Linked DNA regions of Cricetulus griseus. The protein of the gene in region 3 interacts with the protein of the main gene of each other region in a pairwise test. Links are inferred from orthologs where the notes say so. Each region holds a gene or a part of one and is shown on either strand. Other genes may lie near its edges. The genes, in order: Rhobtb3; cytochrome c oxidase subunit 5B, mitochondrial; Bhlhe40; Rbfox1; Aanat; Smyd1; Aamp.

The links.
Region 1: the proteins of Bhlhe40 (region 3) and Rhobtb3 interact in binary tests that used the Homo sapiens proteins (3 or more experiments, as listed by UniProt). The two-hybrid records come from large-scale screens. The link is inferred for Cricetulus griseus from reciprocal best matches to the Homo sapiens genes BHLHE40 and RHOBTB3.
Region 2: the proteins of Bhlhe40 (region 3) and cytochrome c oxidase subunit 5B, mitochondrial interact in binary tests that used the Homo sapiens proteins (3 or more experiments, as listed by UniProt). The two-hybrid records come from large-scale screens. The link is inferred for Cricetulus griseus from reciprocal best matches to the Homo sapiens genes BHLHE40 and COX5B.
Region 4: the proteins of Bhlhe40 (region 3) and Rbfox1 interact in binary tests that used the Homo sapiens proteins (3 or more experiments, as listed by UniProt). The link is inferred for Cricetulus griseus from reciprocal best matches to the Homo sapiens genes BHLHE40 and RBFOX1.
Region 5: the proteins of Bhlhe40 (region 3) and Aanat interact in binary tests that used the Homo sapiens proteins (3 or more experiments, as listed by UniProt). The two-hybrid records come from large-scale screens. The link is inferred for Cricetulus griseus from reciprocal best matches to the Homo sapiens genes BHLHE40 and AANAT.
Region 6: the proteins of Bhlhe40 (region 3) and Smyd1 interact in binary tests that used the Homo sapiens proteins (3 or more experiments, as listed by UniProt). The link is inferred for Cricetulus griseus from reciprocal best matches to the Homo sapiens genes BHLHE40 and SMYD1.
Region 7: the proteins of Bhlhe40 (region 3) and Aamp interact in a two-hybrid assay, tested with the Homo sapiens proteins (2 studies listed by BioGRID and IntAct). The link is inferred for Cricetulus griseus from reciprocal best matches to the Homo sapiens genes BHLHE40 and AAMP.

Annotation. Positions count from the first base shown.
Region 1 is NC_048595.1:297,070,852-297,075,065, forward strand, and holds the start of Rhobtb3 (rho-related BTB domain-containing protein 3), read right to left. Parts: upstream 2,905-4,214; 5' UTR 2,476-2,904; coding exon 2,474-2,475; intron 2,376-2,473; coding exon 2,150-2,375; intron 1-2,149. UniProt on the Homo sapiens protein: Rab9-regulated ATPase required for endosome to Golgi transport. Involved in transport vesicle docking at the Golgi complex, possibly by participating in release M6PRBP1/TIP47 from vesicles to permit their efficient docking and fusion at the Golgi.
Region 2 is NW_023276807.1:11,509,076-11,513,148, forward strand, and holds cytochrome c oxidase subunit 5B, mitochondrial, read right to left. Parts: upstream 2,656-4,073; 5' UTR 2,602-2,655; coding exon 2,499-2,601; intron 1,958-2,498; coding exon 1,884-1,957; intron 1,715-1,883; coding exon 1,615-1,714; intron 808-1,614; coding exon 695-807; 3' UTR 616-694; downstream 1-615. UniProt on the Homo sapiens protein: Component of the cytochrome c oxidase, the last enzyme in the mitochondrial electron transport chain which drives oxidative phosphorylation.
Region 3 is NC_048601.1:35,827,348-35,831,593, forward strand, and holds the start of Bhlhe40 (class E basic helix-loop-helix protein 40), read right to left. Parts: upstream 2,880-4,246; 5' UTR 2,557-2,879; coding exon 2,477-2,556; intron 2,311-2,476; coding exon 2,241-2,310; intron 1,966-2,240; coding exon 1,858-1,965; intron 831-1,857; coding exon 707-830; intron 1-706. UniProt on the Homo sapiens protein: Transcriptional repressor involved in the regulation of the circadian rhythm by negatively regulating the activity of the clock genes and clock-controlled genes.
Region 4 is NC_048600.1:39,617,884-39,622,252, reverse strand, and holds the start of Rbfox1 (RNA binding protein fox-1 homolog 1), read left to right. Parts: upstream 1-1,472; coding exon 1,473-1,571; intron 1,572-4,369. UniProt on the Homo sapiens protein: RNA-binding protein that regulates alternative splicing events by binding to 5'-UGCAUGU-3' elements. Regulates alternative splicing of tissue-specific exons and of differentially spliced exons during erythropoiesis.
Region 5 is NC_048600.1:129,173,455-129,177,610, reverse strand, and holds Aanat (serotonin N-acetyltransferase), read right to left. Parts: upstream 2,812-4,156; 5' UTR 2,531-2,811; coding exon 2,368-2,530; intron 2,091-2,367; coding exon 1,936-2,090; intron 1,461-1,935; coding exon 1,155-1,460; 3' UTR 577-1,154; downstream 1-576. UniProt on the Homo sapiens protein: Controls the night/day rhythm of melatonin production in the pineal gland. Catalyzes the N-acetylation of serotonin into N-acetylserotonin, the penultimate step in the synthesis of melatonin.
Region 6 is NC_048601.1:62,932,908-62,936,609, forward strand, and holds part of Smyd1 (histone-lysine N-methyltransferase SMYD1), read right to left. Parts: intron 1,526-3,702; coding exon 1,349-1,525; intron 1-1,348. UniProt on the Homo sapiens protein: Methylates histone H3 at 'Lys-4' (H3K4me), seems able to perform both mono-, di-, and trimethylation. Acts as a transcriptional repressor. Essential for cardiomyocyte differentiation and cardiac morphogenesis.
Region 7 is NC_048595.1:427,521,453-427,525,919, reverse strand, and holds the start of Aamp (angio-associated migratory cell protein), read left to right. Parts: upstream 1-1,642; 5' UTR 1,643-1,734; coding exon 1,735-1,855; intron 1,856-2,298; coding exon 2,299-2,457; intron 2,458-3,266; coding exon 3,267-3,386; intron 3,387-3,975; coding exon 3,976-4,115; intron 4,116-4,375; coding exon 4,376-4,467. Other genes in the region: probable hydrolase PNKD, read right to left, coding at 321-489, 1,221-1,287. UniProt on the Homo sapiens protein: Plays a role in angiogenesis and cell migration. In smooth muscle cell migration, may act through the RhoA pathway.

The DNA.
Region 1 (4,214 bases), on a different chromosome or scaffold from region 3:
ACTTCATCCTATTTGATTAGTGTATACACTGAAGGTCCTGCATTAGTATAAACTTTGATGTGAGAAACTCTCCCACGCCTAATATAAGTAATATATGACTACACTAAAGCTATAATATGCACTTTATTATAGCAGCTATCACTTTTAGCACCTACAGCCTCCACACTTGGGACTTTACCCTTCAGCACGGTTCCAGGATAGACAGGAAAACAAGCCTAAGAGAAGGTAAAAGATTTACAACAAAACAAAACAAACAAAAAAACATATGCAGTGGCAATGTGGGATCTGAAATCAGTTCTCTTTGCTGTCAAAAGTGCTGTGTTTGATACTATGATTCAGTACCTATGCCAAAACAGCTGATGGGTATAACCCACCTTCATATTTCTGGCAGAATTTACTTATGTTAAAGGGGAAACAGCAGCTCAGAGTGAGTGACTCTACGCATGCAACTCACTGTGTCTGAAGACCCACCCATCCTAATCTGGGAAATTGTACCTGGTGACAATCTTGGTGTCACAGATTTTGTTTCACCTATTTTATTCTTATACAATGTGCGGCTCTTTGCTAAAGGAACACAGGCAGGAAAGGGTTAACAACTCAACCCCCCCCCAAAAAATGAGGAAAAACAGCCCCAACACTCCTAGTCATCTTATTTTTGCTCTGTATTTATTTCCTCAATCAACTAAACATTTGTTCAACAGTATGTTGAACAAGTAATAGTTGAAGGCCATTAAATCTTTCATAATAAAAGGGCCCAAAGTGAATGTCCTGGCACATACATCAGTCCTTAAGTCCTCCCTAGTGGCATCTTTGGATACCATCATCTCTGTCATACCTGAAGGCTAAGTCCATCCTTTTAATTGAAAAGTTTACTTAAAATTTATTTTAGCACATTAATATACATTTCCAGTAAAAGGGGTGCCTTCTTTCCATAATAGGAAAATATGCTCAAGAAATTTTTCTCAGTACATTCTACACATTTCTGTTCAAAAGTAAGCTAGTTACCCTGAGCTCTGATTCAGCTTAAAAAAAAAAAAAATGCCTTTTGGACCAGCACAGGAAGATTTGGTGGACTTTGCAGAGCCCCCGTTGAGGGTCCTACCCTGCCTGGGGAGTGGTGGGTGGATGGAGTGGGGGTAGGCTGGGGGTGGGGGAGGAGGAATGGGGGTGAGGGGAGGGAGAGGGAGAGGGAGAAGGGACTTACATGTGAAACAAGCTTGTTCCCTAACTAGAACTAATAAATAAATTAAAAAGAAAAGAAAAGAAAAGACGCCTTTTGAATGTAAGAATTTTACATAATTTGTGCCTTGGTTGAGACCCCAATGTTTCATTCATATATATTTATCTTTAGCTGAAGCACATATAACTACACTATTAGCAAGCAACCACCTACTTAAAAGTAAACAAAAACACTTGAAATACAGTGTTACTGTGTGATGAAGATACCTAAGCCTCCTTTGTCCTTTCATCAAACACTCGAGAGTCAGAATAGATTTCTTTCATTCAAACTCTCATAAACATAAAGATTTTTTTATGCTAGGTAATGTTAGTGGTATTTCTGATTTATTAATCATTAAAAACAAAGCCAAACCGATGAGTATTGCATCACTAAGAACTAGATTTTTTTCCAGAAGTCAATAGTCTACAAAACGAGCCATTTAAACTTAGTTCTCAAACCCCGACCTTTCTCCCTTTTTCCATACTATTTCTGACCTGTCCCTGAGAAGAATATTTTTGCCTATGCTGAGCGGTATTTATAGAACACATTTCCCTATCCTCCACAGGGTGGACATGAAAACATGTCTCTTGGCCAGTGGAACTTCGTGACCCCGTCCCTTGGGGTTGGCCCAGTCAACTCTCAGCTGTCTACTAATGGACAAGTCACAGTCGTGAAGCACAGTGACTGCTCTACGTTCCCCTGGGGCTTTCAACTTTGCAGACGTGTGCCCCACCACCTCCAAATTGAAACAAAGGACGAGATTTGCCAAAAAGAAAAAAAAAAAGAAAAAGAAAAGGAAAAAAAAGGAAAAGTAAAAAAGCAAACCAACCCTCTCTCCAGGCAGTCAGGAAAATAGGAAACAAGGGAAGGAGGGGTCCAAACAACAACAGGCTCCTTTGGCCTGGACACCGCGTAGTCGCTGCCCCTTACCCAGACGGGACAGTCGTGCACTACCAGCTTGACGTTCCCGAACGCACTGGCCTGGTACTCGGTGAACACCGGGCGCGCGACCGTGCTGGCCGCGTTCAGCAACAAGCTGCTCTCGTCCCCCGAAACCAGCGGGCTTCTCCCCAGATAGGTGCGGATGAGCCCCGACGGCCGGCTGTCCTGGTGGAACGTGTCGCCTTCGTTCCCCAGCGCCACGATGTGGATGGACCTGCGAAGCCGAGAGAGGCGCGGTGAGCGGGTGGGCGCAGCCAGGGCGCGTGGCACGTCCGGAACCCGGACCGTGGCAGGACGGCGACGCGTACGTACATGATCGCGGCTGGCAGGGCGGCGGGGAGACGGCAGCGGGCGGCCTCGCCTCGCGAGGACCGGGTAGACGCTCTCCCCGCAGTCAGCTCATCCCCGGCCGCGGCCCTCGCGCGCCTGCACCGCGGCGCTGCCAACGCTGAGCAGAGCGGGCCCGGGAGAGCGGCCGGCGCGGGCGCGGGCAGCGCTGCAGATCCCCGGTCGCCGCCCCTGGCCGCCGCGCCTCCGCCCCGGCTCCGCCTCCGCCGCGCGGTGACCCGGCCCCGCACGTGTCCCCCCGAGAGTCCGCCGCGCAGGGGAGCGAGCTGCCTGCCCGTACCCCCCCTCCCCCACGAGTTCGGGCGGCGGCCGCGGGATACAAAGGAGCGATGGGCGCGGGGACGACGCCGGAGCCCGGGAGCTGCTCGCCGCCAATCCGCCTGCAGCAAGTTTGCTCAACTCGGAAGGCTGAAACCCGAGCCGGGAGCGGGGGAGGGGCAGCTTGGCCCCCGCCGGGGACCAGAGGAGAGCAGGGCTGGGGGGCAGCCCCCTGACGATCCCGAGGTCCTGTGCCCACGTTGGCCCTCACCCGCAGTGTGTTATCGTTTTGTCAGTGGTCAGCATGCGCTACACTGTTTTGTAAAAATCCTAGTTGGGAAGCAAAAGAAAATAAAGGCAACATTCATGAAGCTGCAGAAAAGATTCTTTGTTCACGCACCAATTAATTTGTCGATGTCGCTTTGAAAAGGTCATTTACTATTGCAAGCTATATTTGGCATACTTTAACCAAAATTGCGGAATTTAAAGTGTCGGGATTTTTTAATGTGATTATTTTAAAAGAAAGTTCTAGCAGTTTATTTGGATTCTTTTCAGCACACATTCCAGTTACATTATTTAATAATAGCTCACTGAAAAATAAGGACCATGTTAATGGAAGGATACTTTCGATTCTTTCATAGTGACAGGCAGAAATAACGCTTTCGGATGCCCCTTTTAAAGGGCCTCAGGCTGCCTCCAATATAAAACACCATGAGAGACTGCTGATGCTAGGACGGGCCAGGATTTACTCTGGGGCTCCTCCATAAACATTAAAATTCTCCCAAACACCCAAAACCCTGTTAAAAATGTTCTTGTTTATCCTTTTAGTTATTGGCTCTGCTTTGAAATTGGGCTTTTTTTCTTTTCTCAATGGACCCGTTTTGGGAAACAGGAGGTGTTTGAAAGGGTCCTGGGAAGACTGAGGTAGTGTCAGCAGCTTTTTATTAGGAACCAGTATTGCTAGTCTGAAACAGTGTTTTAGTTACTTGTCCATAGGTAGGGCAGGACAGGAGACATTCTCTATGTCGTTTGTTTATTATTCCTTTCTTGTTGCCTGAGATGGCTCTGTGTTATTCAGGCTAACTTTTAGTCTTCCCTCCTCAGCGTCCCAAATAGCTGTAATTAGTCATATATTAGTAAAGAAGGTCAGTGGGGAAAAAAAAAAAAAAAAAAAAAAGCAAAAACTAATCTGGTCTATATAGTGAGCTACAGAACAGCCAGAGTTACATAGTGAAACCCTGCCTCAAATAAATGAGTTCCCTTTGTACCCAAGTACAGTTTCTTTTAGTCTCTGGAAATAAGCATCCTGGAAGATTCAAATGTGCTGTGTCACATTTCCTCTTGGACCAACAGAAAACATGTTTTTCTCAGCATTCCCCTCCAAGGACCCAGCAGTCAAACATAGAGACACATAAATATGAACTTTTTTTAGATGGTTTTTCACTAT
Region 2 (4,073 bases), on a different chromosome or scaffold from region 3:
AAACATCAAGATCCGGGGCTCAAGAGATGGCTTAGAGGTGAGGAGCACTGGCTGCTCTTCCAGAGGTTTTGAGTTCAATTCCCAGCAACCACATGGTGGCTCACCACCATCTATAATGAGATCTAGTGTTCTCTCCTGTCCTGCGTGTGTACATGCAGGTAGAATTCTGTATACATAAGAAAAATCTTAAACAAAAACAAAAACACAAAACAAACAAACAAAACATATCAGGATCCAAGCAAGGTCCAAATATTGCCATTGCTTTCACCCTTTAAAATCTTCCTTGGTTTTTGCCCCCACCATCCTTATATAAAAAAAAAAAAAAAAAATTAAATAAAAATCTAACAGCTCTATACTGGTTTTACATTCTCAGTAGATGTCAAGCCAGTATTAAGAAACAACTGATCTCAACATAAAAAAAAAATCTATAGAAGCCGGGCAGTAGTGGTGGAGCACACCTTTGATCCTAGCACTGGGGAGGCAGAGGTAGGCAGATCTCTGTGAATTCAAGGCCAGCCTGGTCTACAGAGTGAGTGCCAGGACAGCCAAGAATACACAAAGAAACCGTGTCTACAAACAAAACAAATAAAACCTACAGAAATAAGACTAGCCACCTATGGGAGGAGCCAATACAATGGCTAGTCTTTATTAGAGATAAACTTTCCATCACATTCTGAAAAGTTAACACAGAGGCTCAGTGGACCAGTTGGTGGGGCACCAGCTTATAATGGGTTCCACAGCTGGGGCATCGCTGGACCTCGCCTTTGTGCAGCCAAAACCAGATGACAGTGCAGTTGTCCTCTTCACCTGAAAGGGAAAAGGCAGCTCAAAGTCATCCAGCTCCAGCGTACAAAGGGAGACTTACAACATTCATCTTTTCCTACAAACACTTTAGAGAAAAAACCCAAAAAAACTGTGGTTGACTTTAAGAAGTCACTTCAAGCAAACTCTGCTCTTTCAAATGAAAAAATGGGGCTGAGTTTACCTGTGAGTAAAATAACCTTGTATCAGGGTCACTGTAGGTTCTAACAATTCCATTCCCTACACAGAATCCCAAAGCAGGATCAGTACTTATTTGTATCTCTAGAGCCTAAAACAGTGCCTGGCATACAAATATATTTATATATAAAATCTGGGCTGGAGGCTGGAGAGATGGCTCAGCGGTTAAGAGCACTGACTATATTCTTCCAGAGGTCCTGAGTTCAATTCCCAGCAACCACATGGTGGCTCACAACCGACTTGAATAAGATCTGGCACAGTCTGCTGGCATGCAGGCAGAAGACTGTATACATTTAAAAAAAAAAAAAAATCTGGGCTGGAAAGATGGTTCAACATGTTTTAAGACCATAGACTGCTCTTCCAGAGAACCTGAGTTCAATTCCCAGTATCCCTATCAGATGACTCACAACCTTATTTGTAACTACAGCTCCAGGGGCATCTGACTCTAGTGGCTCTCATGCATTCTGAGGCTTGAGACAGAACACTTAGGACAATTTATACCAGTATTTTTTATGCACATATAGTCAGTCACATGCACAGATCTGAAGCAATTTACAGAGATTCTGTGTAGCAGGTCATGAACAAATGGACAGACAATAAAGGCAAGGTACTTACAGATGCAGCCCACTATTCGCTTGTTGGTGATGGAAGGGACTAAATTAGGATCTTCCTTGGTGCCTGAAGCCGCTTTTGGAGGTAGCATATTGTATGGATCCTGAAAAAGGCAAGAATTGACCAGTTACTACAGACATCCCCTGCAACTACACTGCAAAGGGGCTGTTCCTACAAGTTGGGTTTCCAGGACCAAATGCTGGCTGACTGGAGACTCCTCTGATCCCATCCAAGTCCAAGGGCTCCAGAAGACACAGGGAGTTTTTCCTTACCAGTCCCTTCTCTGCTGCTATCATGATCTCCCTCTCCAGCCCTGTAGCCTGCTCCTCATCAGTAGGAACACCACCTAAAAGAAGAAAAATGAATTATGCCAACTGATAGGACCACGATGAATACACGCTCAAATGATCAACACGGGAAAGGTGACATTGTAAGCGTCTTTGGTGGGCTCTCAAGTCACCCATTCCCACAGTCCCCTAAGCCCACTGAGTCATGACTCCCAAAGCCTTAGGGGAAGTTTCCCCCTCCAGCCGCCGAGGCTTGCTTTTCGACTTTTTCTAAAAACCAAGTAATCAATGAGAGATAGCTGGCTGGAGGTGGGCAGGGAATCTCAAAATCGGTCCAGTCTTTTCCCACCGCTCCAACAGTCCCTGTCTCTCAAGGTCACCCGGCACCTTCCAGTCAGGGCACTTTAGAATCGGGGTCAATCCTGGGCGGGGGCTGGGCGGCCGAAATTACAGCCAGACCGCTCGGAGCGCAGACTCCGGGAGCGTGAGGTGGTCAACAGGGCCCGAAGCAGCTCAATGGCCGACCCCGCTCGACCGCGCCATCACCAACCACCCCCGAGGCCCCGGACACCGGCCTGGCGCGCCCAGCTGGCCACAAACCTCCAGAAGCAAAGGAGCGTGTCGCAACCGCGCCATGGGGCCCACGAGCCCTCAGGGCCTGCGCCGCCAGAGCTCCCACTCCGCGAAGTAACCTTGAAGCCATCTCGCCCGAGACAAGCAGATGCACTTCCGGGAACGGGCTCGGCAAGATAGGCGGGACTTCCGGCGATGGGCGTCAGTCAACGACCAGTCAGCCTTCCGCTTCCTCCCCCGGCCTGCCCAGGCCGCTAAGGTAGATGCTGCGCATGAGCAGCTCTGCCTCTGCGCCCGCCGCGCAGACTCCGTCAGCCTCGGAGGCGTGGCGTCAGTCACCATGGCAGCTGGCGGCTTTCGGTTTTGCCACTGTTGCGCTTGCGTGCTCGCGCCTGTGTGTCCCGGCCACATTGACGTTCCTGTGGTGGAGGTGCTGTTGGAAGCTGAAGTCCCCCTCAGTGGGGACTTGCTGCACCACAAGTGACACAGATGGGCTTGAGCTCGGGAAGCTTTGTTTGACGTGCCTGTTAGTCGCCGGTTCGGGTCCTCAGGCAGAGCATTAGCCATCACCAATCTGTTGCGTAGTCCCACCCTGTCAGAATTTGACGGGACCTCCCCACAGTCTCGGCCTCAGTTTCCTTCCCTCCTTCCTTCCTTCCTTCCTTCCTTCCTTCCTTCCTTCCTTCCTTCCTTCCTTCCTTCCTTCCTTCCTTCCTTCCTTCCTTCTTTTTTTTTAAGGCAGGGAATCACTATGTACAATCAACCCTGACTGACCCGGAACTCGCTTGTTGATCAGACTGGTCTCGAGCTCACAGAGATCTGGCTACCCCTGCTGGGATTAAAGTATTGGCATCACCTCAATTTCCTCCTTTAACAGTGTCATTAGAAGTGATGGTGTTGGCCCCAGGGATGGATGCAGGATACCTCCTGGTGGCCACTCTGCGAAGTTATGATCAATGAGGAGGATTCTAGAAGGAGGAAGGAAGGAAAGTTAATAATGCAATTAGAAATCACAATAGTTACAGTGGACAGAGGTCTCTAATTTAAACGGAAAACACATCCCATTGCTCCCCACTGCACACTGCAGGTAAACTGTGAAAACTCATGGCAGGACGGCTAGAGGACTTTCAAACACAACTGTGCTTCCCTAATTGTGCTCCAATACCTTGTAGAGGTCTTGCATATAATAATATCAAATAATTTCTAGTAAGTCTGGCCGTTTGGACCAAATATAAAGCTTATAGGTCAATTTGAGGGCAACTACAAAGGACTAAATTCCTGGGTGTTGCCACCTGCCATGTGTAGATTATTTTCAACATTTTTATAAGTTGCATTGGTCACAGTGTCTTATCACAGCGATAAAAAGGTATCTAATATATACTTGCTTCTCACTCTCATAGATTTCCCTAAAAAGAGGAGAATTTTGTCAGGACTTGTCCAGCTCAAGAAAATCTGACCCTCATTCTGGTCACCAAGATCAGATGTGTGAAGGCTGAGAAATGGCACAGTCCATAAAATGTAACCACGGGACCCTGAGTTTGAGCTCCAGTGCCCACATAAAGCTGGGTTTGGCAGCCCATACCTGTAATACCAGCATTGGGA
Region 3 (4,246 bases):
GCAGACATACTGGCTTGGTTTTTGTGATTCTCATATTGGCCTTGGCCAGGACAGAGAAGAATGCCTGAGGGGTACTTGTAAAGGATTCCCCCTGGCCTGTACTGTATGATCTGGAAGGGAGAGAAAGAAGGTCAGACGGTGTCTCTGAGTCTCTGAAACTCCGTAGAAATGAATGATGAAACCAGTGGTTTCACTAGATTGTGCAATTCGACAAGATACCTAGTGGCTATTCAGGGAACCACAATGAAATACAGGGGAGAAAAAAAAAAAAAAAAAAAAAAAAAAAAACTACTGTCATCCTGCCAAGACTGCACCCTATATCCAAAGACAAGGAAACAAAGAAACAGGAAAACACTAGGGGCAGACCCTTGTTCTGTTCACCCATGACCGACGGCTCAGATCAACTGTAAATCACCCACAATGCAAATTACAGGAGTCTTGGCATTTTAAAGGAGAATGGGGAAGTCTCCCAGATCCTAGACACTCTCAGGCCAAAATGTCACATTTCATCACTGGACTAATATGTATTCATTCCAGGTGGCACACAGCAGCATTCTGAATGGAAAGTATGACCTTTTAGGAAACAGAAAAGCATCTCTTCTAGTGGATGTGCGAAAGTGAATGGTGACAGGAGGGTCAGAAGCACAGTGAGCCCAGGGCTCTAAAGAGGGAGCACTCAGAAGATACTATCAGACCCAACACTCACCAGCTTGCAGACCGCTCTGCAGGGCAATGATTTTTTGCTGCTGCTGATCAATTAGATTTGTCAATGCTTTCACATGCTTCAAGGTGAGCTCCAGAACCACTGCTTTCTCCAAGTGGCCCAAAGTCTGGAGGAAAAAAACAAAGAGCTTCTGTCACCTGTGAAGTCGGAGAAGTCCCCACAGACACTTATTTGTGATGAGAACTGGGTGTAAACAACAGCAAAGACAGGAAGGGCCTTTCCCGCTTTACTAAGTTTAAAGTTTGCAGATGTTTTAACATATACACATAGATGACCAAAGGATTAAAAACAAACAAACAAAAAAACATGTGTCATCTATCTTTGGAGGCCTTTTGGTAGCTGTTACAGTCTCAGGAGTGAGCTGACAGATAGATTTCTCCAGCAGCTGCCCTGACCTTAACTCAGGGGACTCCAGAGATAGCATTTCTCTGCTGTGGTGTCAACCCAGTGAGGAACATCTACTGTGTCTGGCAACCAGGAGGCTTTCCCTCCCCTCCCGTGTGTGTGTGTGTGTGTGTGTGTGTGTGTGTGTGTGTGTGTGTGTGTGTGTGTTTCCCTGACACCCTTTTAGAACTTCAGCTCGGCTTTCCCTCCCCTCCCGTGTGTGTGTGTGTGTGTGTGTGTGTGTGTGTGTGTGTGTTTCCCTGACAGCCTTTTAGAACTTCAGCTCATGAAGGCTTTTCATCTTCCCTTCCAAATACTTTTCACGAAGGAATAGCTAGAAAGCTTTTGGCTACTAGTAAAGGATATGACGGAAAGAAACACACACACACACACACACACACACACACACACACACACACACGGGATGGAAGATGGAAAAGGAAAAGGGCTTAATTTGTGTTTGTGTGTGCGAGTGAGCCTTTAAGTCAGAACTACAAGGCGATGGAAATTACCAAAAGGGAGCTATGCTAGTGTTGGAACCAACTTAAAGAGGCCTCAGAGAGTGATGGTTCTGCCTTTGCCTGGAAGTCCTGGGACTAGGGATGGGTTCCCTCCAACCCAGAACTACCCGGAGCTTTGATCCGCCCGTCTAGCCTGCAGTTCCTCGTGACGCCTGCAGGCGGCGAGTGACCCCCACCCGCCCTCTGGGCAGAAGAGCTGGGTTGGAGCAAGGCCAGCTTCTCACTTACTGTAAGTTTGAGGTGTTCGGGTAGAAGATCTTTCAGCTGGGCAATGCACTCGTTAATCCGGTCACGTCTCTTTTTCTCAATCAGCCGATGCGGCAATTTGTAAGTTTCCTGCAAGGAGTACGTGGAATGATGGGTGCCTGGGAAAGGGAAAGCGAAGCCTCCCTTCCTCCCCTCCCGGCAGCAGGGAAAAAATCCTGCAAGGGCGCAGATCAGAGACGCACCCAGAATCACCTTTTCTGTCCCTTCTTTCCCAAGTCACTCAGGTGTGACAATGAGCTCACCACATCTTGAACCCCCAAGCCAACCTCCAGGCAAGCAAACTTTTCTTGGAAACTCAGCGCACGCGAGGGACTAGGGAAGGGGTCCCCAGAGGATGCACCTACCTTGCTGTCTTCGCTCCGTTTTATCCCCCTTCTGGACTTGTACACTTGGTACATGTGGGCAAAATCCATCCTGTAGGGAAAGGGGACAGAAAGAGCCGTGACTCCCGAGTGTGCACTGGCTGCAGGAGCCCTACTGATGCAAGAATCCCCGTGTTCCCAGAGGTGCCCCAAGTTGAGAGAGGCGCAGAATACATAGCTAGGAGCGGAGACTTGATGGGGTCACAGTGCACACTTACCCTGACAGGTCTCCGTGCTCCAGTCCTGGCGCTTTAGGCAGGCAGGTAGGAGGTGGTTGCGCGCTGGGGATCCGCTCCATGATGCGGCGAGCCGGGGCCACTGCGCGCTCCTGTCTGCACTTAGCAGAGCGTCCGAGGGAGGACTGCCCTGGAAGGGAGGATCCGAGGGTCTCAAGGGGTATGTTCCTCTGAGCTAGCCTGAGCTCCCTTGCAATGAGCTGGGCTGCCAGGAGCCGCGGCTTTGAGGCGTCGCTTAGTTGGGGGCGTGCATGGCCGGGTGTCCCCGCGGCTTCTGGCTCCCGCTCTGCGCACAGACTGGCGGTGTGTGCTCGCTGCGCTGTCTGCGCCTTGCGAGCCAAGTGAATGAGAAGTGGGGCGGGCGGGGAGGCGGGAGGGAAGGGAGGTTGCTTAGGGCGGAGCGGGGGGGGGGAGTTGTTGGAGGGGAAGAGCCGAGGAGTAAGGAGAGGCTGCGGGCTGGGTTAAATGGGAGCGAGTGGGTGGGTAGAAGCTACGTGTTCTACCCTGTGACTCCAAGCACGTCTGGCCGCTGCCGGGGAGGGAAGGAGCGACCTGCCCGCCCTCCCCCGGCTTCATCACATGAGTCTCACGTGTTGGACAACGCTCTGGCGGCTGCGAAGTGCCCCCCCCCACCCCAACCTCGGGCCCCAGGTGTCTGCGGCTGCGGCCTCCTTTCCCCGAAAGAGGGGGTGGCAGCGCAGCCCGAGTCCTGCCCAGCTGGGTGGGGGGCACGGAAGCTGGAAGGAACTGGGGGGGAGGGGGGTTGGTAACGTGGGCGAACCTGCCCCAGGGAAATGAAGTAAGTTCCCGTCTCCTGGGAGGGAACGGGGGAGGACGGATCCGCCCGCGTCTGACTCAAGCCGGGAGAGGAATATCCCCTCGGTCGCTCCAGCCCAGCCCTCTTCCTCCTCCCCCGCCTGGCCCGCTCCTAGGAACCGGTGCGCAGCGGAGGGAGTCGTCGCCCCCCTCTTGGCCTTCCCCAGAGGCTGGGGTTTCTTTCCGTCCCCGCTTCCCAGCCCCCCCCCCTCCCCAGCGCTCACCCCAGTGTCCAGGAATTGCCCGCCTTGGGGAGGGACCGAGGGCGGGGCGGATGTCACCCCATGGGAAGCGGGCAGGCGGCCAGGCGCTAGGGCAGCCGAGGCCGCCGCCGAGCACGCCGCGCGCACCTGACCGTGGACCGTGTGAGCTGCGCCGGCCCCTCACTCTCCCGGGAGCTCAGCTCCGGGGCGCAGCCTGCGGGTGGCCCGGCACCCGACTGGCGCGCACCCATCTCCTCCCGCCTTTCAGGGTGCCTCACTGCCCCCACCCACCCTGGCTAGTCAAGCACAGAAAGATACCGGGCACAGTGCCCAGCGTTCCCTCCCTCCTCTGCCCCCTCCGGAGCAGAGGCGTCCGGGTCGCCTCCCCTCCGGCTGCAGCGTTACACAACCGCGGCGACGGCGCCTGCCCTGCAGCAGCGCGGGGCGTGACGCTTCACGTGGCCCGGACGCGGGTCGTAGCTCCGCTCGCTGCAAGCCTCTGCACCGGCATCCAAGCTGTGACCCCCGCGCACAGGGGCTGCCAGCCTGCAGGGGATCCCGCTGCTAACCAGGAACTTGGGTGGCGCTGTTTGCGGTCTATTCCAGGGCAGGAGGAGAAAAGAAGGGGAAAAAAATTTAAAAAACCTCTTGGCCTATCAGAGTGAAATCTCCACATTTATGAAGCACACATTCACTGAGCCCCTTTCCCATTGTTAGACTTCGTGCTAGAGAC
Region 4 (4,369 bases), on a different chromosome or scaffold from region 3:
ATCACATCCCTTTTTATTGCATAAAGACTAACGAAATCTACTAATGAATAATTATTACTTCATAAGATAAAGGGGAGGGGGAAAGATCTGCCTGCAAGAGTGGAATGTTAATTTGGCCAAGGAGGCCAGGCAAGAGGGGAAAATATAAAATAAAACCATTTCAATTTGCTCTCTGCATCACGAACAGTAATCTCTTATAAGACAGGGACTTTTGTCTACCCCGTGTATTTATAATTTGAGAAGAGCAACGGGTTCTAGGCTGGGAGAAGGCCCCTTGCATTCACCTCGAGCTGGCATTTTAGTGTAACAGCTGCGTGGATTCTCCAGTTAAGCCGCACCGCTCGGGGCTGCTTGCCCCGGGTAGGCTGATTCCAGGGAGAAAGCAGTGCCCCTAGAGCAGCGGGGGGCGGGGGGGGGGGGGCAGAGACCTCCTCGAGCCCCCACCCCTGCACAGACAGCACCCCAACCCCTGGCGTGTCCATCACCCCCAAGCTTCTTACAAAAGGGGAAATCCCTTTCTTGTGTTTATTTGCCAACGAGTCAGGCAAACAAACCGCCAGCTGAAAATCTCCCGGGCTCCTTAGTGTCCCAGCTGAGCAGTCTTGTTAATGGTCCAGCTCCTTTGATTGCTGGAGATGTGGGGCGCTCATACGTTCGCTCGCCCTCTCCCTCCCATCGGAGGATTTTAGCAGGCAAAATTTAAATTTTGGCGAGTCCTTTTTTAAAAAAAGAAAGAAACCCACAACCCTGCCCCTGGACCTCTTTGACAAATGAGAAGACTCCCAGCATCAGCACCAAGCGAGTGAGCTACAGTGAAGCTGTGAGTCAAAACCTCTCTCTCTCTCTCTCTCTCTCTCTCTCTCTCTCTCTCTCTCTCTCTCTCTCTCTCTCTCTCTCTCTCTCTCTCTCTCCCCAACCCCTCCCCCCTCTTCTCCTCTCCCTTCCTTCCTTCTCCTCCCCCTTCCCTACTACATATCCCTGTCTTCCCTCTCTAGCATCTCTATCAGGGCATCCTAACCCCTGTCTTTCATAGAAGTCGACTTTGCCCATTTTTGTCACCTTTAGGGGGTGGCGGAGGTGGGTGGGATGAGGGGCACCTTCCACTTTAAGAGCGCTCCAACAACAGGCCCAATAAGCCAAGGGGAGCCAACACTACTTCCCAGCCTCTCCAAGTGTCTTTAGTTGAAGGCTGATGAACGCTGGGTACTAGCAAACCCGAGGGCGAGGAGAGCCAGGGAGGAGGGACTCTCTTGGGGTGCGGTGGGGGGAGGGAGAAAGAGAGAGACGAAAGAGGAAGAGAGAGGAAGAGGGACAGCCACTGCTGCGTGAGTTAGATAATCAGCAAAAATTAAAAAGAAAAAAAAAAAAACTGTAGCGACTAGGCAAGAGGGTTAAAAAAAAAAAAAAGCAACGCGATTGTAGATTGTATGTGAGCATCTCCGCTCTCGCTCTGCGGGCACCCGAGAATCGCGATGCAGCATCCTCTGACGGGGGCCACCTGCGTGGCACTCCCCAACGTGGGCATGTGTCCCCAGCTCTCGTGTGCCTTGACTTTTATGTACTTACAGCAGGTAAGACGCGCGGCTCTTTCTCAGCGGCAGCTTCTTCTCAGCTTGACCAGACTGGGTACCGGTTCAGTGGGCTGCGCGTTGGGGGGTGGAGGGTGGGGGGTCTCGATCATTGGGACGAGGTTTGGTGGGAGCTTCTGGTTTTCCGTTAAGCCACGATGCTATTTTAATTCACCTGTCTGAATACTTTGTGAACACCGATTTCCAGCCTCAGGGACCGGGAATTTGAAAATAAAAAACTGGCTTTTTCTTGTGAGCATCTTTTCTCATGTCAGAAGTCCCAGAGGTGGGGTGAGGGGAGATTTCTAGGATGTTGAGAGAGTTTGGGGCTCTGTGAAGACATCCTGATGTTTGTAGTTTTAATTCAGCTGTTTTAATGATTGACACAAAGTGTGCATGTAGTGTGTGTGTGTGTGTGTGTGTGTGTGTGTGTGTGTGAGAGAGAGAGAGAGAGAGAGAGAGAGAGATCTTTGTTAAGTTTGTGTTATCTATCCATCCACAAGAATCAGTACATTGGGATATCTGGAGCTTGACAGCCCCCCTACCCAATCTTCTTTGAAACTCCCCAGCATTGGGTGAGCATGGGTAGATGCTGTCTTGACTGGCCGGAACACAGGGTGGTTTGTTTGCTTCTTTGGTTGTTTCTATAACCCAGGCCTGTCCACTCCCTGACAGTGGTCTTGCCAGATGTCTGTTGGCTTCATTCCCACCCAGTCCACATCTGTGAATTTTTGGATTCAGTTCTTGCTCTGAGTGTCTGCTCTGGGCCTCAATGGGTCTCCTCCTCCCTCTTACTAGAAAGGCTTCTGCCGAGTACAATACTCCGGGGCTTTGGAAACCACCTAACACTGTCCTGTGGGGAAGCAGGCCAGCTGTATCACGGGGCGGGGTCTGTGGCAGTGAGTTGGCAATATTAGAGGGGTTTTGTCTGCTGGTGGGAATCCATGACCCGACTCACTTTGGCCTGTCCTATGAAGTTTTCACCGGGGGTAATCCTTTTGCCTGCCTTTCAATGAATTCACTTTAAGAATAAGATTGGTTACATGTGTGTGTTAACAAAACTTCTTTTCCAAGAGTTGAAAGGAGCCCCTTTCCTCCAAGATGTCCCACTCTAATTTGTGCTACAGAAATATATGTCTTCATAAAATGTCAGGGGTTCTGTTTTGAACATTCGGGTAATTTGTTATCAGCTCGGTTGCCAATTTTTTTCCTCCTCATATTTACTGCTGCTAGTCTTTTTTTGAGAATAGCTCCTTAAAAACATCTTGTGAATAAATTGGTTTATACATGTATTTGTTTTATTTTGTTTCCCATTTAGTCAATCATACCAGGAACCATCTCTTAGGAAGGTATTGATAATATATGTGATTCATCAGCATGTACCATTTCCTTGCCTCAGTTGTGAGTGTGTGTCAAGTGCCGGTGCATTTTACATCAGTTATTTGTCACAGAAACATTCCAGTAAACATTTCTTCAGTTGCTAAACCTCAGCTGGATTGAATCAAACAAATTACTAGAGCAACTGGTTTTTTATCCTATATTTGTGCCTTTCATTTTATTTATGAATCAACTGGATTATGTTATTTAAGACGTAGAATGTTATGAGTGCGCAGTGCTTACTCTGTTTCTGGGGCTTATGTGTTTTAACTAATCTGTATTTCTGCTTCATCATTAAACTGGTTTGCTCATTGAAGAATTTAGGAAGGAGGACAGTGGCTTTGAACAAGAATCTATTCTTCTGTGAAAAGGAAGGGTGCATCATGTGGCACCAATCTTTCCCACTGTGGAATGCACCTGCTTTGGAGAGGAGCCTCACAGGAAGTGCTGGCAGCCATAACAAATATTTAGAGGTGACTAAATCAACAGCACGATTCCCCAGGAAGGTAGATGGGGGACGGTCTTTGAAATGAGGTCTCAATGTGTTCTCCCCACGACTGAGTGAGGCATGGGGTCAGAAAGGTGAGAGTGACAGAAGTATGTCCCTTACTGAGGTTTACTAAAATTCTGAAGTATAAAAAACGGGCAGACATTTATTTTTGCTTGTCCTATTTACAATCAAGGTTTTTAGCTGCCACCACTACCCTTTCCTAAAATTCACTATCAGAGACCTGTGCCTTGGGGTCATCTCTTCTGACCTTTTAACGCCATGATTCAAAGTCAAGGTCAGAAAACTGGCTGATTTACAGAGGAGACAGTCCCTTTCATCTCCACAGGCCACATATCAGTACAGACTACACATCTTCTGCCCGTGTGGAACCACTATACTTTTTTCTGCTACTAATCTATGGCTAATATTACATATCCATGTATTTGATAAGCAGAGAGCTAGTTCATACTTTCAAAGCATATTCATCAAATAGATGACTGAATCATGCTTCATTTATGAATAACAATACCTTCATTAGAAGAATTAAATTTTGTGTGTAGGAAAAAGGTATGTGTCAGAAACCACTGTCCTCTTCATCGCCAGTTTACATACAAAAATAATTAAAATCCTCCTATCTTTTGTGAAACATTTCTCATCCTGTTTTTATCCATGCACACGGTCTCATGTGTTGGGGACTCCTGGGTCCTCACTGAAATATTTTATCTTAGAATGAAGTCTTATATAGGGACTATCTCTTACCCAGCACTCAAGGAAAATGACTCGGTTATATGTGTTCACTGGCCTTGATCTTAACAACCCGTTCCTTCCTAGATACTATAAGACAACTCATGAAAACAAAAATCAATTAGGATGCCTCAGCCTTGAGAACATACACTGAATGTTCAAGTGAAAACAACATAATCTCTTTGCTACA
Region 5 (4,156 bases), on a different chromosome or scaffold from region 3:
ACCCACATGGCGGCTCACCTGAAACTACAGTCCCAGGGGATCCAACTCTATCTGTATGTTTGCTACACAGATAGACATGCAGACACATGTACATAAAGTTTTTTAATGTTTTTCATTTTGAAAGCTAGGCATGGTGGCACTTGAGGGCAGCCTGGTATACATAGTGAGTTCTAGACCAGCCTGAGCTATCTAGTAAGACCCTATCAAAAATATTTTCTTTTTAATTTAAAAAATAAACACTTAGGTGAGAGGGCAGCAGCCACGGGGCTGAGGCAAACTAGAGAACTTAGGATTTCTCTGGCATTTCGTTGAGCCCAAAACCAGATTCGATCATCACAAAGACGCCGAGAACCCTGCGAGGCCTGGGTTGCATGTAGAGCCCTGAGACCTTTTAACCCCAACTGCTCTGCCTTTGCTCTCGGGCAGTCAGAGGGCTGACCATCTGCAGAAATGGCCTGTTCTGGCAGAGGCACTCTTAGCGGGAGATCAGGCAGTGTTTGCTTCTCCAGTCAGCTCACTTAGAAGACCCTGTACACACCCATAAGTCAGCCACTGGGACATAACTGCTTTATTAGTGGGACTTTATTAGGGGGAACCAGAATAGAAGGCAAGTCTGGGCGAGCGGGTAGGTGGGCACACTGGTGCCCAGGTGCAGTGGGCGTGGCCCCACAGCATGTCCCTACTCCAAGTTCGCCACCATTCACAGGTCCAAGCCCCAGGCCCTTCTCAAATTAAGCTCCTGGCTGGCCCTCATTCCTGTGAGGAGCCAGGAAGGGGTGTCAGTCTGGGGAGGGCAAGGACCGCAGGAATCAGGGAGCTACACTGGGATGTGGGATGCAGAAACAGAGTGGGTAGAGGAGGAAGTGTGGGGACAATCCTGCCATTGCACTGATTGCCTATCCTGGTCTCGGCTTTGTGCACAGTTCAGAATGCAAGAGGGCCTTTGGGGGCAGGTGGCAGCCTGCCCTGGGGCGGAGCTACCTCCTGTCCTCTTCACTGACCCTTACCTCTCTACTCCAGTTGGCAGCTGCTGTCTCCCTTCGTGCTAGCCAGCTCTACTTGGATGGGCTCTAGGCAGAGGAGGGTGTGGCATGGGAGTTAGGAACCCCCAGCCTGCTGCTCCCACCTCTCCATGGCCAAGCAGGCAGCCTGGTTCAGCAGCCGCTGTTCCTGCGCAGGAAGGCATGGCACCGCAAGGAGCACTGTAGCTCCGTGAAGGTGAGGGAGCCCACGGTGACAGCACACGGGCCCACAGCCTGGAAGCCAAATTTCTCATAGAAGGGCACCAGTGCATCCTCGCACATGAGCACAGCCCGGCGCACGGCTGGCTGGCTCCCCAGGTGGTGCAGGTATCGCCATAGCAACACAGAGCCCTTGCCCTGCTGCCGGAAGGCGCGGTGCACTGCCAGTATGTGCAGGTGGGCCGTGCGGCCTCCAGGCCTGTGCAGTGCCAGTGACTCCTGGGGTGGGTAAGGGACGATGTCAGGGTTACTTCTGCTGATAACCTGCTCCTCCAAACCCAACCCTAACCAAGAGGAAGGGTGTCCCGGGTACCGGGAGAAGCCCAGGCTCCCTTCTTACCCTGACAGGGCCCCACTGTGAGCCACATCTACACTCCTACAGACAAAGCTTCAGTGGTCTTTCGAGACTCTAAAGCGGCAGTTTTAGGTGTCACCTAAGACTGTCGGAAAACAGGTACTTACATTACGATTCATAACAGTGGCAAAGTTACAGTAATAAAAGTCCCAACAAAAAGTAATGTTATGGTCACCACAGCGTGAGGACCTGTGTTAGAGTGCCGAAGCATCAGGAAGACTGAGAACCCTGCTGTAGAGGCTTGGGCAGAGGGCTCTTGCCTTGGGAGGGTCTGCTGCTTGCATTTACTCCCTGCTGGGAAGGAGACTTCCATCTCTGAGGAGTTCACCCTGCCCTCACCTGAGTAAGTCTCTCCTGGTCCCAAAGTGAGCCGATGATGAAGGCCACAAGGCGACCCTCCTCAAACCAGCCCAATGACAGCTCTGGACAGAGGGTCAGGAAGTGTCGGATCTCCTCCAAGTAGAGGGGACAGGTACCAGAGACAGAGATGAAGGCTACGGCGGAAGGCAAGGATGGGCGACTGTTTGCTATGCCACTTGCTCACTGTTTGTGTTCACGAGTGGTCACTCAGACGCCCCCCTCCAGGAAGGCATTGACTCTGGGCTGTTGCCTCCTACTCGAGAGCACCTTCCCTCCCTCCCTCCTTCCCTCCCTCCTTCCCTTTCTCCCTCCCTCCCTCAGTCCTCTCTCTCTCTCAAATTTAACTCCCAAAGGCAGGAGCCTCAGGGGAAGACAACAGTTCCCTCGAGCACCTTCCCAAGAGCCACTCACCTTCACGCTCAATCTCAAACACACTGATAGCATCCCTGGGGGTAAGGCAACGGAACTCGCTGGCAGGGAGTGTGTGGCGCCGCTGGCAGCCTAGGAACTCTGAGGTCCCAGGCGGCAGGTGCATGGCCTCAGGTTCCAGGGAGTGGATGCTCAACATGGGCATCTGGTCGCTGAACCCTCCCTGGGGTTCTCCAGCTTCAGAAGTGGTCTCTAAGCTCCTGTGAGAGAAGACAGGGAGCCTGGCCTTCGTCTTGAAGAATGTAAGTCAGGTATCTCTGGGGATAGTGCCGTCCTCAGGTGCCTGGACCTCCAGGCAAATTCCAGGAACTTGGAATGTTAGTGTATCTCCTCTTTTCACTCAAGAGCTAGAGGTCAGCTGGAGAGATGGCTCCGCAGATAAAAGCACTGGCTGCTCTTCCAGAGGACCCGGGTTCAATTCCCAGCATTCACATGGCAGCTCACAGCTGTCTGTAACTCCCATTCCAGGGCATCCTCACACAGACACACATGCAGGCAAAACACCAATGCACATAAAATAAGAATAAATAAATTATAAACAACAACAACAAAAGAGCTATCGGTCCCTCTGAGAAGTTGTCCAATGCTCCAGACAGATTCCACTGCCCTCCAGGTACCTGAGCCTTGGCAGATTGTGGCCACCCCAACCCTGTTGCCCAAGGGGACAGTGGAGCAATGTTGCATGAACCTCCAGCCTCCTCTCCTGAATCTGTGGGAGACACCCAGGCCTCTGATACTGAGGTCATAAGGCTTCTCTCACCCAAAAGGAGACTTCTAGCCTTCTTTCTGTATGAGATAGTACAGTGGCCATGAGAATGTTTGGTTCTTGTTTTTTAAAGGAGGTGTATCTGATGGCTATGCCACATGCGTGCAGGAGCCCACAGAGGACAGAGCCATTGGGCCTGGTGCTGGAGCTACCCAGTGTGGGTGCTGGGAACCGAACTCAAGTCCTCAGGGAAAGGGATACAGACTCTTAATCTCTGAGTCATCTCTCCTTCCTTTTAGGTTGCCCCAGACTTTAGTCCAGGAGAAAAAGCTCTTTAATTAATGTGAGGCTGAGCGCCCGTTTCCCCAGATGACGTCAAGACTAGGTCATGCTCAGGAGACGAGGGATAAGATGGTTAAAGAGTCTGAGACTGGAGAGTGGCCTGGTATGGGGGGCATTCAGGGAGACTGTCCACCAGCTTAGACTCATGGCAGATGCCCCTGTGGGTACCCTCTTTCCTATGACACCCTATAAAGATGCCTTCCATGTCTCTGCCTTCAAAAGGGGCTGGGGAGTTAAGGTGAGGTGGCTCAGCAGGTACAGGGACTTGCCACCAAGCCTGAGAACCTGAGTTTGATCCCAGGAACCCAAGTGAGAGGGAGAACCGATTCCTACAAGTTGCCCCTGTCTCACACATGTTCACACCCACACACGCACATTAAATAAATAGAATAAAAATGTTCTTATTTTAGGTGGGCAGTGGAGATAGCTCCCGGATGAGGGCCTAAGCACAATCCCCCCAAAACATAAGAAAAACCCAGAGTCAGTACCCATTGCCAGTATCTGCAGTCCTAGAACGGGCAAGACAGGATGGGCGAACCCCTGGAGCTCACTGGCTCCCTTAGCCAGCCTAGTCTACTTGGTGAGCTTCAGAACAGCAAGAGACCCTATCCCAAAAGATGAAGTAGATGGTTCCCGAGAAGGACACCCAAACCAAACCTCTGGCCTCCATTACACATGCACACACATCCACACAAAGAGTCAGGCATTGCGTCCACTTACCAG
Region 6 (3,702 bases), about 27 Mb from region 3:
CCTTTGAGTCTAACAGAGAGTGGTGTACTTCACCCCAAGGGCTTTCTTGCTGACTGTTAGGTGGTACATTCCTACAAAACGAATTCTGTGTCCCAGAGACCCACAGTGTCACACTGTCACCTGCTGACTGGGGATTTGTGGTCCAGGAAGACATGCTCCTGCAGGGAGAGATTTCTCCTCTTGCTTGGCACAGTGCGGGCCCTACTTCTTTCTGTTTGGGTAAGAATTATTCTTAGAAATGTGCACTTCTTCTAGCTGAGCAGTGGTGGCGCACGCCTTTAATCCTAGCACTCGGGAGGCAGAGGCAGGTGGATCTCTGTGAGTTCCAGACCAGCCTGGTTTACAAGAGCTACTTCCAGGACAGGCTCCAAAGCTACACAGAGAAACCCTGTCTCCAAAAACAACAACAACAACAAATGTGCACTTCTAGGTTATCCAGGTGCCTGGGAATCAAAAGTTTCTACACAGAGCCCAGAGCACCATGGGGAAAGTAAGGTTCAGGTTATGGTGTGGGAAAGATTAGTATCTGGGGATATGGTCCCAAGAAGAAAGAACAATGGGTGACAGATTTCAGGTCGGTAATAGATGTGATCAGTGAGTGGGATTTGCGCCGAGGAATGAGATCGGGAGTCTCAGGTCTTGAAGAATATGACTCCAGCAGATAGAACAAGGAGGCTGCTGAGGCTAATGGAGTTTCATCCTGTAGATTCCTGAAAGTTTCCATGGCCCCGTTCTTGATTGGCATGCCCCATACACCCTGCAAATGCTTTTAATTACCAGTATCCTCACCCATTTTGCTCCTAGGTCAGCCTACACACCTAACCACATCCCAGCACGGACAACGCCAGCAGGGCCAGCAGCACCTGGGAGCTCTCAGCTGGAACTCTAGTGCTAGGCTGAGGTCCTAGCAGTGGCTCCTGTGGAGGTCTGCATTGTCAGTGCCTGTGTCTGGGCTGCAAGAAGGACATTGTACAGCGAGCTCACTGACTTGGAAAACCGCCTCTTAAGACACATGCTGTTTAGCTGCAATGCATCTTGTCAGAACTTCATTTTTATTCTTGTTCTCCAGAGAAACCAGAAATAATTTTCCACAATGTGTAAAGTTTGGAAGATCAGGGTTTTTTTGTAATTAAATATTGAGGAGCTATGCAGGGGCCTGTGGGCCTTTCCTCACTGCTATAGATGCCCAGTGTCTGTCTCGGACCTAACGGGGTGAGTGCAATTAAGGACCTGAGACCTTTGCACTCAGCCTGGCATCCTGAGGGCTGGGAATGCTGCTGTTATCACCTCTGCTGACCCAGCCTGACATTTGGAAATCCCAAGCCCTATCATAGGGACCAGCTCCAACCTGATATTCTCATTGGGCACCTTCCCGTATCTCTTGATGGCGGAACACTCGTTCTTGTGGTTCAGCCAAGCATCCTTCTGGCACGTGCGGTCGCAGTAGTGGGCGAACTTGCATTGGCCACAGCGGTGGAGCTTCTCCTGCCTCTTGAAGCAGGTGTGGCACACAACGTTAATGAGGCTGAAAGTGGAGAGGGGGGAAATTCAAGTCAAGAAGAAGGGCTGGGGCTGGAGAGATGGCTCAGCAGCTAAGATCAAATACTGCTCTTGCATAGGCATTTGGTCCCAGCATTTATGCGGGTGGCTCATTACCACCTGTAATGACAGCTCCAGGCAATCTGACACCTCTGGCCTCAGTGGCCACACACTTACACCTACATATACACACATTCACACCAGTTGTGGTGGTGCATCCTGGCACAGGCAGGAAGATCAGGAGGTTTTGGTTTTTTTTTTTTTTTTTTTTTTTTTTTTTTGCCAGCCTGGCTACACATATTCACATATTTAAAAAATAAAAATTAAATCATTTTAAAAACAGGGGATGCCTTTGGCCATATTTTGTTGCAGATAACACATTACCACAAACTAGGTAAGCCATAAAGAAAAGAGACCTAGCCTGGCGGACAGCATACCTGAAACCTCAGCACTTGGAAGACAGAGGTGAGGGTGGAGAGTTTGAAGCCAGTCTGAACAACAAAAAGAAGAAAACAGATTTACTTTGCTCACAGTTAAAATTGTCTGCTCAAGGATTAATTTCATCCAGAAGAGACATTTAGCATGAGACCTTCGTTTTGAAAAGTGCAAGTCTAAAATTCAAAATGGTAAAGACCATATTCTGAGTCAAAACTGGAACCCAGGTCTCCTGCCTGCCAGTAAAGTGCCCTTTCCATACGCCCTGCTACAGTTGGAGTACAGTCTAGATGTGTGAGTTGTAATTGCCATTTAGAAGTGTGGAGGCAGTGGAAACACTTAGACTATGTGTTTTGAGTGGGGTCTTCAGGAGGGAGGGTTAATCAAGATGTCAGAGTGGAGCTACTCTCCCATGTATGCATATGGAACCAGCTTGTAGCTTAGCGGTAGCATGCTCAGCATAGACAAGGTCCTGGGTTCAATCCCTAGCACAGTAGTAATAATAATAATGGCAACAATAATAACAATAACCATATATTATAATAATAATAATAATGATAAGCTGCAGACATAGCTCAGTGGATAGAACTATTTGCCACCAAGGCTGACAACATGAGTTAAATCTTGAGGACTCACACAGTAAGAAGAAAGAATTCCTGCAAACTGTCCTTCGACAGTTTTCACAGTGTTCACCCATGTGTTCAACACACACACACACACACACACACAGAGAGAGAGAGAGAGAGAGAGAGAGAGACAGAGAGAGAGAGACAGAGAGAGAGAGAGAGAGAGAGAGAGAGAGAGAGAGAGAGAGAGAAGTATAATTTTAAAATGCCCCCAAATAATCCATTTTAAGAGAAGAAAGGCTTACAAATAGGGAAAGTTTTAAGTCACAGCTTCAGAGTTATTGTCCTTGGTCGGTGGTCCCTTGCTTTTAGGCCTTCATGACAAGTGTGCATGACAGAGGAAGTCACTCACCTCCTGGCAGCTGGGAAAAACACCCCCTCACAGGCACACTTCCCACCTCCTAAAGGATCCACTACTCCCAGCAGTGCTACAGGCTGGGACCATGCCTTCAACACTGGGCCTTTTGGGGTACCATTGAGGTCTAAACTGTAGAATTCTGCTGTGCTCCCTAAAGGCTTATGTCGGTCTCCCAAAGCATCCAATCCACCTCTATGCTAGGTTCTGACATATACTGCATTAAGATAGCCCCAGATCTCACTGCCAGAGAGCCACTCAGGGCACTCGGTTGTCTAACTGGAAGTGTAAGCTTCACATTTATTCCAGCTGCTCTCAGTGTGGCATTCCAAACTTCCAAGGTCATTTTGAACTGTCTGGTCATCTTTTATACTGGTATCCTGAGCTTGGAGTCTTCCACAAGTCTGAGAGCCTGACGTAGGTTGGGAAAGAAGCCGGACAAGTATCCGCCTCAGGCTGGGAAACACCAACTTAAGGCAGGAAGGCAAAGGAATGGACCAGGACAGGATCTGAAGAGGACAGGTTAGACACAGACACAGTCATGCTACCTGTCACTTTTAACTCCACACATTTCTGTTCAGAGATCCCTTAGGACTTCTCTGATATCTTATTTCCAAACTGATGTTTTAGAACATTCTAACAGCGACTCTTCATATTTTTATTCATATATACACATCTGTATCTCATACTTGAAAATTTTACCTATATTGTGTACTAACCAAAAAAATTATGGAACACAGTTCTCAT
Region 7 (4,467 bases), on a different chromosome or scaffold from region 3:
TTTCTAGCTTCTATACAACATATTTCAACACAATTTTAAGTGATTACTGAGACTGGGATCTTATCCCAGCTCCCAAAAGGAAGGATGAAGCCAGTGACCCAAATTCAAACCAGATCAGCTCAAGTTGCTCCACCGTAAGACAGTCTCCTCAAAGTTCCCCTCACCATCTCACCCCCATCTCACTCTGAGCTTCTATCCCTGGAACCCAGCGATTCTCTTCCTTTGGACTCAGCTCATCATCTGCAACTTAAGTTTCTAGGTTGACATCCATCCCTTGCGTGCATTCCCCACTGGTAGGCAAAGGGGCAGTTAAAACTCACCAGGCTAGTCCCACAGCTTTCATGGGGTTCTTGCCCCTCTTTCTGGGGATGTATTCCAGCTCAGGAGAGAGGGGCTCAGGCTCCTCCTTGCATTCCGGTGAGCTGTGGCTCTGCAGTGCTCTGGTCCTGTTCTGGGAAGCCTTGTTAGCTGTGGCTCCAGAGAGAATCCCTGTGAATAAAAGAACGGTGGGGGTAGGTCAGTATAGGATGAGGGAGGGGAGGAGCGGCTGAGTTTTGAGGGAGGGGAGTGACTGCAGTTTGGAGTAACAAGTGCTGTGAAGAATCCAAAGAGAAATGGGAAAATCGCCATCGAGGTGACACCTTTGGAAGCTACTTCCACGTCACTGCGGGATCCTCATCCTCGTGCCAGGACAGCGAGCTTTGCTGCTTTCTATTCAGAAGACCGGTTGGGAAGGACTGCAGAGACATACGTATGAAGGAAATCCTGGGAACTGTTTTAAAACTACAGGACCTTAGCTATTCCTAAGGATAGCTAACTCCATCCCCTCGTATTATAGAAGAGGAAACTGAAGCCCCGAGAGACGAGCTGCTCCGCACAAGGTCAAACCGCTAATTACCCAGTGCTAGAACTCAAGCCTCCAGAAGCCCAGGGCTCGCTCTTCTGCACTGCGGTGAGTGTGAAACCCCTGGAACGCGCGGGTGACGAAAGGCTTCTTTGGGACTCCCTCTATCAACAAGACCCTAGACATGCAGTGTAACCTGAACGCAGGGGTTAGATTGGGTGACCTCTAGAGCATCTTTCACCCCCAGACTCTCTAAGATCCTGCCGAGAGGTATGGACAGCAATTAGCAGCCTGACTTCCTGCTGTCGTGCTGGGTGGAATGTGAAGGGAATGGGATCTTTTAGAGCCCTGCCCTCCCGGGGGTCCCTCTCCTTACCCCGGAGGACGCGGGCATTTCTGGCCCCCCGGCCCTTCAGCGCCGTAGCAGCTACCACCGCCGCCATGTTCAGGTCCCACCCCCCTTCACTGCGCTCCCCGCCGGGAATTGTAGTTTGCGTAAGGGGCCTCCCCCGCGCCTTCCGTCGTGCCTACAGCTCAGAAACTACATTTCCCAGAAGTCCGCGTAGCGGGCCCGGGAGAACTACTCCTCCCAGGAGACCCCGGAGGCGCGCACGCTCGCTTGTTTCCCTCCAGCTGGGGGCGGAGTCATGTCGGGAGGAGCTTGGGTTCTCCCGCCACGCCCCGGCCTGGTCATCCCAGTTCTGCCTTGTGATTGGCGGCTCTGTCAGCCCACCTCCGTCGCTATTGGTCCGGATTCCGTCGCTCTTTCGGCCGGGAGTCGCCTACGCCTACTTCCTCCCGGGAGGAGGGGCTCGAGTTCCGCGTCGTCGCGCAGAGCTGACTCTGGGAGGCGTTTGGGCCCAGAGAAGTGGATCGGTAGGTTTCGCCGCATGGAGTCCGAATCGGAGAGCGGAGCGGCCGCTGACACCCCGCCGCTGGAGACTCTAAGCTTCCACGGAGATGAAGAGATCATTGAGGTGGTAGAGCTGGATCCAGGCCCGCCCGACCCGGGTGAGAACTGTCGCTCCTCAGGCCATGGGACAGGAGGCGCTCACCCCTGGCCTCTGACCCCTGCTTCCTCCCCCTCCCCCCTTCCCTACCGGTCGTTCCTACCGACATTTCTCTCCCAGCCCTCCTTCCCTACCCCCCACACTTAGTTTCGAGGCCTGGCTGGGTGGGGGTTCCCTGACGCCTCCCCTGGCCCTTCCCCTCACACACCCCCTTCCCGTCATGCCCTCTGTCCTCTCTTCCCACACGGTCGCTGGCCAACGCCAGGTCTTCAGACCTAGCCTCTCTCCCCTTCTCCGCCCCCCAAGCGCTCTCCTCCTCCTCGGTACGTGTGGGACGACACCTTAACCTTTGGCCACATGACCCACTCTGGCGTCGTCCTATTCACTCTTCACCCCATTCCTCTTATATCTTTCGAGATCCATCTTTTAACGCTTTTCCCAAAGCAGATGATCTGGCCCAGGAGATGGAAGACGTGGACTTTGAGGAAGAAGAGGAGGAGGAAGAGGGCAATGACGAGGGCTGGGTCCTGGAACCCCAGGAAGGGGTGGTCGGCAGCATGGAGGGTCCGGATGATAGCGAGGTCACCTTTGCATTGCACTCAGGTAGGCCTTTGAAGGGGCTCACCTCAGATCAGTGCAGATGGACTTTTGAGTATGACCAGTTGGCCCTGAACAGGATATTATGAGAGACAAATAGGAAAGCCTGCAGGAAATTCACAGGAAGGACCAAAGGGATTAGATTTGGCAGTGGTGTCAAGTGAGACACCTAGGTTCAAATCCTACCTCTGCTGTTTATCACCTTTGTTAGCTTTCTGGATCTTGGTGTTCCTTTTTAAAAAGTCAACTTGGTAGTGGTGGTGGTGGTGCACACCTTTAATCTCAGCACTTGAGAGGCAGAAGCAGGTGGATCTCTGAGTTTGAGGCCAGCCTGGTCTACACAGAGAAACCCTGTCTGGAAAAACAAAAGAAGTCCTCTTAGATGAAAGTGAATGGACGTAATCCTGGTGGAAATTAAAGGCAAGTGACACTCCAAAAGTAGCCTTAACGATAATCTTCTCAGGAGCTAGTTCTTTGTAAGCCAGTCTCATGAGGCTCCCATCACTTAATTCATACCCAGCCTGGTGGAACCCTGTGCTGTTAGCTGTGCCCATGGACCCACCGCTTGGCTTGTACCTCAGAGTGGGATGGTAATGGGAACAGGACAGCAGCAGGAGGAGGACTTGTGAAGGATTTCCCTAACAACCTAATGCTTCAGACAAGAACTGGGTCTTGCTACTGGGTGTAGCCTGTCCAGGAGAGAATACCTGTGGCCTTGGGGAAAAGGGGTGTGCCTCCCCAAAGGTTTTGAAGACCAGAACTCTAGGTGAGAGCCCAGTTCCATCCCCTTTCTTGTGGACTATCTCTTGGGACAGCATCTGTGTTTTGCGTGAGCCTGGACCCCAAAACCAACACCTTGGCAGTGACAGGGGGTGAAGATGACAAAGCCTTTGTGTGGAGACTCAGTGATGGAGAGCTGCTCTTCGAGTGTGCAGGTAAGAGGCTGGGAGGTTGTGTCCCTCTGGACATCTTGGCAGGTGGCCTGTGTGAACGCACAGCGGCTATTTACTAGCCTTTGTCTTGTGCTGGATCCAGGAACCCACACTAGAAGAATAACTTTTGTGGGCACTTGGACAGGAAGTGCTAATTGGCCAAAGGAGTGTGGCTAAGGTGGGCACGGGAGGAGGTGGTACTGTGTAGGAGTAGATAGAGGCACGGAGAACAGAAGACAGAAGTATGGCCTGGGAGTCCCAGGCTTTGGGTGGTTGAACAGTGGGGTCAACAGTATCTTCTTGGAACACCTGGAGTTTCTGGGCCCTGGAGCTACAGTGAGTTTGGTCACTTGTTCTGCTGAGGCCCTCCTACCTTTTTTCTAGTTAGTTGTTTTTTAAAAGGTAGCCAAATATATGGGTCATATGTCCCCAGCATTTAGACACCTTTTACTGTCCTTCCTTTTCTGCCACTTTTTCTTTTAAGTTACATAGTTTGGGTTGGCCTTGGATTTACTATGTAGCCAAGGCTAGCCTTGAACTTGCTACACCTCAGGCACATTTGAACTGAAAGTCTGCCCATTTCTCTTTGCAGGCCATAAAGACTCTGTGACATGTGCTGGTTTTAGCCATGACTCCACCCTAGTGGCCACAGGGGACATGAGTGGTCTTTTGAAAGTGTGGCAAGTTGATACTAAGGAAGAAGTCTGGTCTTTTGAAGCAGGAGACCTGGAGGTGAGATCCTTGGAGTGGGCTTCAACTCTGTGGGACCTCAAGTAGGGATGAGCACTTCTCAGAGGGGGAGGGGCAGGCATAGCCATACTGGAGAAGGTTGCTTTGAACCATAGTAACCATAGTAGCTCAGCTTCAGCACTATGTCTGTTCACCAGTAACGTACATGCTAACCCTAGAAGCAGGGACACATGGGTGGGGTTCATGGACTCTCAGATTGGCTGGGTAGCAGGCTTGCTTGCTGATCCTTCCTCTCTGCCCAGTGGATGGAGTGGCACCCTCGGGCACCTGTCCTATTAGCGGGCACAGCTGACGGCAACACTTGGATGTGGAAGGTACCGAATGGTGACTGTAA